Drosophila melanogaster: one gene and its partner. The protein of the gene in region 2 interacts with the protein of the main gene of each other region in a pairwise test. Each region holds a gene or a part of one and is shown on either strand. Other genes may lie near its edges.

Evidence for each region. Proteins that work in one complex are often made in the same cells at the same time.
Region 1: the proteins of Zdhhc8 (region 2) and SmydA-3 interact in a two-hybrid assay, tested with the Drosophila melanogaster proteins (one large-scale study listed by BioGRID).

Annotation. Positions count from the first base shown.
Region 1 is NT_033779.5:10,848,029-10,851,781, forward strand, and holds the start of SmydA-3 (SET and MYND domain containing, arthropod-specific, member 3), read left to right. Parts: upstream 1-2,112; 5' UTR 2,113-2,231; exon of another isoform or gene 2,232-2,820; intron 2,821-3,212; 5' UTR 3,213-3,303; coding exon of another isoform or gene 3,304-3,659; intron 3,660-3,753. Other genes in the region: porin, read right to left, coding at 1-140, 213-440, 516-835.
Region 2 is NC_004354.4:9,354,513-9,358,265, forward strand, and holds the start of Zdhhc8 (zinc finger DHHC-type containing 8), read right to left. Parts: upstream 1,716-3,753; 5' UTR 1,603-1,715; exon of another isoform or gene 1,475-1,602; intron 667-1,474; 5' UTR 42-666; coding exon 1-41. Other genes in the region: BCL7-like, read left to right, coding at 2,408-2,753, 3,051-3,169. UniProt on the Drosophila melanogaster protein: Palmitoyltransferase that catalyzes the addition of palmitate onto various protein substrates and therefore functions in several unrelated biological processes. Regulates tissue growth possibly by regulating Ras64B protein stability.

The DNA of each region.
Region 1 (3,753 bases), on a different chromosome or scaffold from region 2:
CATCATCATCCAGCTGATACTTGGCGCCGATGGCGAACTTGGTGTTGCTGGTGCCGCTGGCCCACGACAGCTGTACACCCACATCCAGCTTGTCCGAAGTGCGTTGGAAGATCGAGCCGCTGAACTCCTGGCCATCGTTGCTAAACACCGGACAAGGCAATCATTAGTTTGCATTGATTTCATTTGCCATGCGTGGCAATTGCAATACTTACACAGCTGTGTGCAGAACAAAGTCCTTGGTGGTGTAGCCAAGGGCAAAGTTGTTGGTGGTCAGCTTGGACTGTTGTGTGTCAAATGCGGTCTGGTAGCCGGCCAACCATCCCTGGTAGCCAAGCACGGCAGAGGCATTGATCAAGGGGCCCTTCAGATCAATGTTCACATCCGAATCGGCCTTGACGTTCTCATGGCCGTAGGCAACCTTGAACTTGCCGTTCTTGTTTCTGACGATTTTTAATTAAATATGCAATATTAATTATTCTGCAGTGAACATATATGTAATAACATGTGATCCTTACCCAGACTGAGGAGCAAAGTTGCCCTCCAGGGACAGCTTCAGACCCTCGAGGAGCTGATCCTGGACAGCAACCTCGGTGAACAGCGTGTTGTCTGTGTTCCACTTCTCGGTGAGGGTCAGGCCGTAGTCCTTGACCTTGTACTTGGTCTCCAGGGAGCCGAAGACCTTTCCAGACTCCTGGTTGGAGTGTCCGGCTGTGTTGAACTCAATGCCCGACGAGGTCTTAGTCTTCAGATCGAGCTTCCACAGGCCAAAGTTGTAGCCTTTGCTGAAGATGTCGCGAGCCTGTTTGCCCAAATCGCTGTATGATGGAGGAGCCATCTGGAATGGATTGAAATGGAATGCATTAAATCGCACCTTCAATTAGTTGGTGAATAATCGATAATCATGACGATGATACTTATTGCGAAATCATTTCACTCGCCAGGTCATTAATTGCGTTTAGCGAACGATAAGTTTAATCTTATCAGCAACATAATGATTATTACTTTTTGCTCGACTTGATTTCAAAATGTTCTATCGGCCGCAAATGAAAAGTGAAAACTAAAAGACGCCAAAAAACAGCATCAACATGTCCCAAGAATTTCGAGGGCTTTTTCCCCATTTTCACTTTGGCTAAATGTCAATTTTGTGCGGCGAAAATAAAGAAATCAATTTAGATTAGTGTTCAAGGCGGCCACATGCAAAGAATCACCAACTGAAGCAGCGAAAATTCTGAGTGACTGAGGAGGGGGTCAATGCACGTCTGGGCAAAATAAAGTGGCGCAAAAAATAGAAGCGAAGATAGAAAACAAATAGTGACTAAGTCTATTTTACTCCAAGAAATTAAGGGTTTTCTATACCAATGCAAAACCATTTAAATCAAAATTTATTTTTCAAATATTTTTATAGGTTTTTTAAACTAAAATTTTAATAAAAATACTGAGATTTTCCCTATTTATCTGGCCACAGGTTTGCCTCTCTCTATGTTTACGTTCCGTTCTTGCTGGCATTAATTGCTGGTCAGTTCAGTCCCGTTAGGCTAGCGATCATTGACTCAGAAGCTAACTGCACATTTGCAACGTCTGCTGTGGTCACTGCTTCGCTGTTTCTATTTGCGTGACGTCAGGAATGCGACTCACAGTCGCGGTAGGAATATTAGTCGCGGATAAATAAATTTCTATCCGATATTGAGCATAAAAAAAATCAAACAAAAATAACCCAAAACATCTAATTGAAATTATTATATAGATATAACAATATAAATATTTCATGTTGTGTTCGGGGGGATTGGTGGGGGGAAACTCAAGGCAATCAAGGCAGAAAATTATGAAAAGCAGCGGCCAGCAGACAAAAATCTTTATGGCCGGCAGCCAAACGTTAAATGGGATGGGCTCTTATTGTTCCGGAAGTCAGGTGATATAACCTGGTCACTAGATGCTGAAAATAATACTATCAGGTGGATGTCCCGGTGAAAATGAATCAGCATCTCGTTGACGATGACCTTGACAAGCAGATTATAAAGGGGGTGGTTGGGTGGATGTGCAGCTCATTTTTTCGACAGTTGCATAACAGCAGGGAAATCGATGAGGGAAAGTGGAAAGCTAAGTGAATAGCTGCCCGAAAAGGTGGTCTATTGATTTTCCAGGTGACGTCACTGCGAAAATACCACCCACAATCGCGAAGTGCACCCACCTCCTCACATGACCACAAACAAACAAAACGACGATAAAGAACGGTAAAGAGTGAAATCGAAAATGTTTATTGAGCGAGCTGCACGCTGGTGGATGGCAACATGACGATAACGAACGGAATTGATGCGACATGCGTTACGTAACGGAAATTCGCCAGGCACTTTTCCATCGATCTCTCTGCTTCTTTGCCCCCTTTTTTCGCCGGCAGCTGCTGCCAATGAACTGCGAAGGCATTGGTGTGCGTGGACTGTTCATGTGTGGATGTGTGTGTGACAGCTAACCGGCTTAATATCCCCTTTAAATTTCGGATTTATCAATTAATTATTGCGTGATTTGGTGATAAGAAGCTCGCCCATCGTCATCCAACAAAAAAGTGCTCAGCCCTTTTGCTTTTCGTTCATGCGCGTGTCTACTTGCAATTTTTTCATTTCGAGGTTATGAAATCACTGGCACCGAAAATCCTGATTTTCCTTCTACCCATAGGGGTATCCATCACATTTCACTGAATTTTGAGGGGGTTTACTCCTGAGCTACTTACTTTTGATGAGTTTTAGTTTGGTTAGAGTGTAATGCGAAACGCAGAGGAACAGAGACACCACGACAAACGTACACCAAAAAATTTTGTAATTCTGTGCCTTAGTGTTACCAACCCTAAAAATTCGTCCAATAATTATTCCCTAAAACAAGCCGCAGATATACTATCTGGTAACGCTGCGTCACTCTTAATGGCAATGGTCACACTTTTTGTAACGGAAATTTGAAAACTAACGGTTACTTAAAATAATTATTGAAATTAGAATTCAATCATTCTATTAAGAAATTCGTTATCTTAAGAACAATTAACTTACATCAAAGTGTTTTTTTTTTACATAAAAGGGTTTCCTGCAAACGAAAACTTTAAAGTTGTGGACAAGTAAATGGGCTTTAAAAAAGTTATAATCCAAAGCAATCAAAATGCAATAAATATATTACAACTTTATTGATTGACACCAATGAAGTGTGTGCGATGCTCTTTTTATTTTTAGACGAATCTGCGTGCAGGGCCGCCAATCGACCGCATAATCCCATTCGGATGGGCCAAAAGCGAGACCAGTGCATTTGCCGTGCGGCGACAGAATGTTGAAGGCCCGTCTGCAGGAGGACGCCGTGCTGGGACGCTGCTTGGCCACCTCTAGCTCCGTGGAGCGGGGCGAGCTGGTGCTGGAGGAGCTGCCCTTCGCACGCGGACCGAAGCGCGACAGCGGAATCGTGTGCCTGGGCTGCTACCAGTTCCTGCAGTTCGGAGAGGACGGCGATTCGCTGGACCGCTGCGAACTCTGCGATTGGCCGCTGTGCGGATCGTGCGCCGACGACGAAGACGTCACGGAGCACCGCGGAGAGTGCCAGGTCTTCTCCGCCGCACGTGTCACTTTCGCCGGGAATGTGAGCGATGATGGCGTCTGCCCGCAGTTGGATTGCATAACCATATTGAGGTTAGTTCGCGGGCGCTCCAGCGGGGCGGGGGTGATGGTGCTGGGTACATCCGTACAGCAGGGGCTACTGGGTGCTACTAGGGGAACCTGGGCG
Region 2 (3,753 bases):
GTCGCAGGAATGTAGCGCGTTTTCACATCGCATTTGGGCATTTTCCTATTTTCCTATTTGTTGGTTGTTGTTTCAGTTGTTGTTGTTGCTAGTGCAGTCTCTCAGTATTGCTGATTTGTTGTTGTTGCTGTTGGCCAATGTTGTTGCAGTGTCGTTGACCGTTTTTTTCTTCTTGGCAATGAAATGCGTTTTGTTTTTGTTGCTGCTGTCGCTGATGAGGTTGCCGTTTTGGTTGCAGTTGCAGTTGTTGTGCTTGCTGCTGTTGTTGTTGTTGCTGCTGCCGCTTGATGACGTTTCTTGACTTGGCTTTCTCTCAATCTATCTATCTCACTCGCTCTCTCTCTCTGTGTGTTTGTTGTTTTATTTCGTATCTTTTATATTTTGTTTAAGGATGATTTTATTTTTTTTTTTGGTTGGGGGGGGGGGGTACTTTTGGTAGGAGGGTCGGGTGGCGGGGTCGGGCGAGGGGCAGAGAGAGAGGGGGCGGGAAACAAGCGAGACGGCGAGACGAAGCGGCGACGCGTGAAACGGGATCGACGACGTCGACGGCGGCAGAGACAGCGACGCCGGCAGCGCGGCTTTCAGATTCGCGGGAAACGGAAAATCGGGAAAACTCGGGGAAAATTCAGCTTCGACTTTTCAAAGTTCTGGCTTTTGAAGCGGCTGCTGTTTTGGGGAAATTGCAGAAATAAATTTATAAATGAAACTGATTAGGTACACTCAAGAAAAATATTTCACTTAACTTTCACTTGAAAAAAAAATCACAATTTCAAATGACACATTACACTCGCATTTCATACATTCGCTATCAATTCGTATTATATTTACTGCTGAGTCCCAAGAATCTCACTTAAAAAAATGAATACTTATGATTGAATAAAATAAAATGTTTAGTGCTAATTAGCATATTGCTGCACATTTAAGTAAAATGTTTAACTTATCAAATGACAACATAGAATGAAATAAAATATCACACTAACATAGATTCCTCTAACTTAAATTCCGAAATGTTGAACTAATTTATATCGCTCGTTCCCCTTGTTTACTTTTGTTTAAATTCCTGCCATTTGAGTTGTTTACTTTATTTTAAATTTCTATAATTTATTCCAATTTGTTTGCGTTTCTCTCTCTCTCTCTTTTTCTCTTTCGGGCGAGGAGCGATTCTAGCCTTGCGTTTGCATTGGTGTTAGTATCGGTGTTAGCTTACGCACACATTTCTAATATCAATTATCCAGGGGGAAAATTTAAGAAAAAAATAAGATCGCTGGCTTTCTCCTGATTTTCGTACAACTATTTTCAATTTCGTGTGCGTTTGTCGTTTTGCCTTTTTCGTCTTTCCCCACTTTTCTTCGTTCTCTTTTCCACCGCTGCTTCTTCTTCTTCTCTTCCTCGTCCTCCTATCACCCTCTTGCTCGTTCGCCTGGCTCTTCACATATACCAGCAGACACACACATTCACGCACGCACACACATACATTCGCACACGCACGTTGTTGCTGCAACGTTTTTTTTGTTTTTTATTTCGGCGTCGCCTGCATTTTCATCTTAATTATCGCTCTCGCTCGCACGCACTGCGAGTTTCAATTCGCGTAAATAACTTCACTTTTCCCGGCTTTGTGCGACTTTTCATTCCATTCTAATGGGCGGCGAACGTTCGGTTCGCATTACGAAAAAATAAATAAAAAATAAGCGGAGCGTACGCATAATTTCGTCGGTCGGTGGAAAAACATCGAAAAACCATCGAGCCATCGAAGTGACATCGTAGCATTGTGATATCGATATGTTGTCGATGATAAAGAATCGACAAATCGATACTCATCGCGCATCGATATTTCGCCCATCACTCTCACGATGGTACACGAAAATATACTAGATTATACCATTTGGCAACATTGGCGTTGCCAGATAATAGAAACCGTTGGACTAACAGTTCAAAATTATTATTTAAAAATTTAACGGTTGTAGCTGTTCAAAAACAAACGGCTAATAATTTAGCTCAGCTCAAAAATTAAGCACTTGAGTTACAAATCATACACGAATTAATAAGCTATCACACTTTAGCACGGACCTTTAGCCAATGGTCACACTGCAGCCCGTGAAAACAACGGGCAATCATTCGATAACATCAGTTGAAAATCACGCTTGCTATCGATTACTTATTTTTGTTGTATTAAAAAATATTTTTGCGAATTGCCAAAAAAACTGAACTATCCACTGGTTAACTGGTCGAGACCAGCCAAAATCACGAGACACGATCCCACTTAAAAGCCAGACGGGGAGAGTTCAGTTGTGAAGCAGCCAGAAGTAGCGAAAACACTTAGCGGCTTTTCGTGTGACGCCGACTTTGGCTAAGGAGGAAAAGCGATTAAAGCAGGAAGAGCCAGACCAGGCGCCATCGACCCACAGACATGTCGCGCAGCGTGCGGGCGGAGACGCGCAGCCGGGCGAAGGATGACATCAAGCGGGTGATGCAGGCGGTGGACAAGGTGCGCCACTGGGAGAAGAAGTGGGTGACCATCAGCGACACCACCATGAAAATCTACAAATGGGTGCCCATCGCCTCCGCCAGTGAGAAGAAGGCCAAGCTGGAGTCCTCGCCGGGATCGGCTGCTGTCCGGAGACCGCCCCCCGGCTCGGGCGTTACGCCGGTCGGCGGCAGCAAGAGCGATAAGGAGAACTCTCAGAAGGGCACGCCCACGCCGCCGCAGATCACGCCCAGCTACCAGGGACTAACCGCCGAGGACTCTAACACCTGTAAGGATGGCTATGTGCTGGTTCTCTTTAAATAAGTAGTTGGGTTCTATGTCTGCAAGCACTGCGTTAGGAGCCAAAACAAAAAAACAGGATGCAGTATATGGATTTTAGGACCTTTACGAGGTGCCATTAGTCTCATAAGCTTGCGGAGCTGCTATAAAAATTGCTGTCTTTGCATTAGCGATATTGTTTACATTTGGTTTTTGGCTTCAAAGCGTATTTCCTATTCAGCACAATTTATCACTCCAAAGCACATGTTTACTCTGTCTTATTCATGCGATCTCTATCTGTACACAGGTTTCTCCGTCGTGTCCGACAGCCAGGGCGCCGACTTCGTGTCGAGTATGCCCTTCTCTGAGGACTCGAACTCGCAGGGCAGCGATGGACCCGTGAAGCGATTGAAGACGAGCGACTAGCCAAACATTCGCAGGCACAGCGTCTACAGCAGCAGCAGCAACTAACTAAGAGCCCTAGTTAAGTTAGGTTAGCACCGACAGCACCGGACGACGAGAGAGTATCTGCCTCAGCCCAAGACTTAAGCACTTCCCTTACACTAGCAGTTTCTTTACGGCTGTCAGACTGTCCCGCCATAAGCCTCATTTATTTGTCATCAAAGCGGGGGTAGCTGATGGTCGATAGGTCATAGGTCCATAGCATTAAGATCAAATGTGACAACTTATTTATTAGAAAGACATGCGAATCGATTTGAGTACGAACGTAGAATGGATATGTAATTTTGTAATAGCTGCTTAAGATACAAAACAGCCAGTCTGAATGTTGTAAACCGTGTAAAGTTTTTTGACTTTCGATTTCTAGACGTTTTGACAACAACTAGTTTATAACTTAGCGTACTAACATAAAGGCTACTTTTTTTTGTTCACTATAAAACTGGCTTGAAAACAATTGATGTACTCGTTCATAAGTTGATTTTCCTTGTAAATTTCGCTTGTAAACGCTTTTCTACGCATTCAGTGAATGCAACAGACTTGAAATCGAAGCG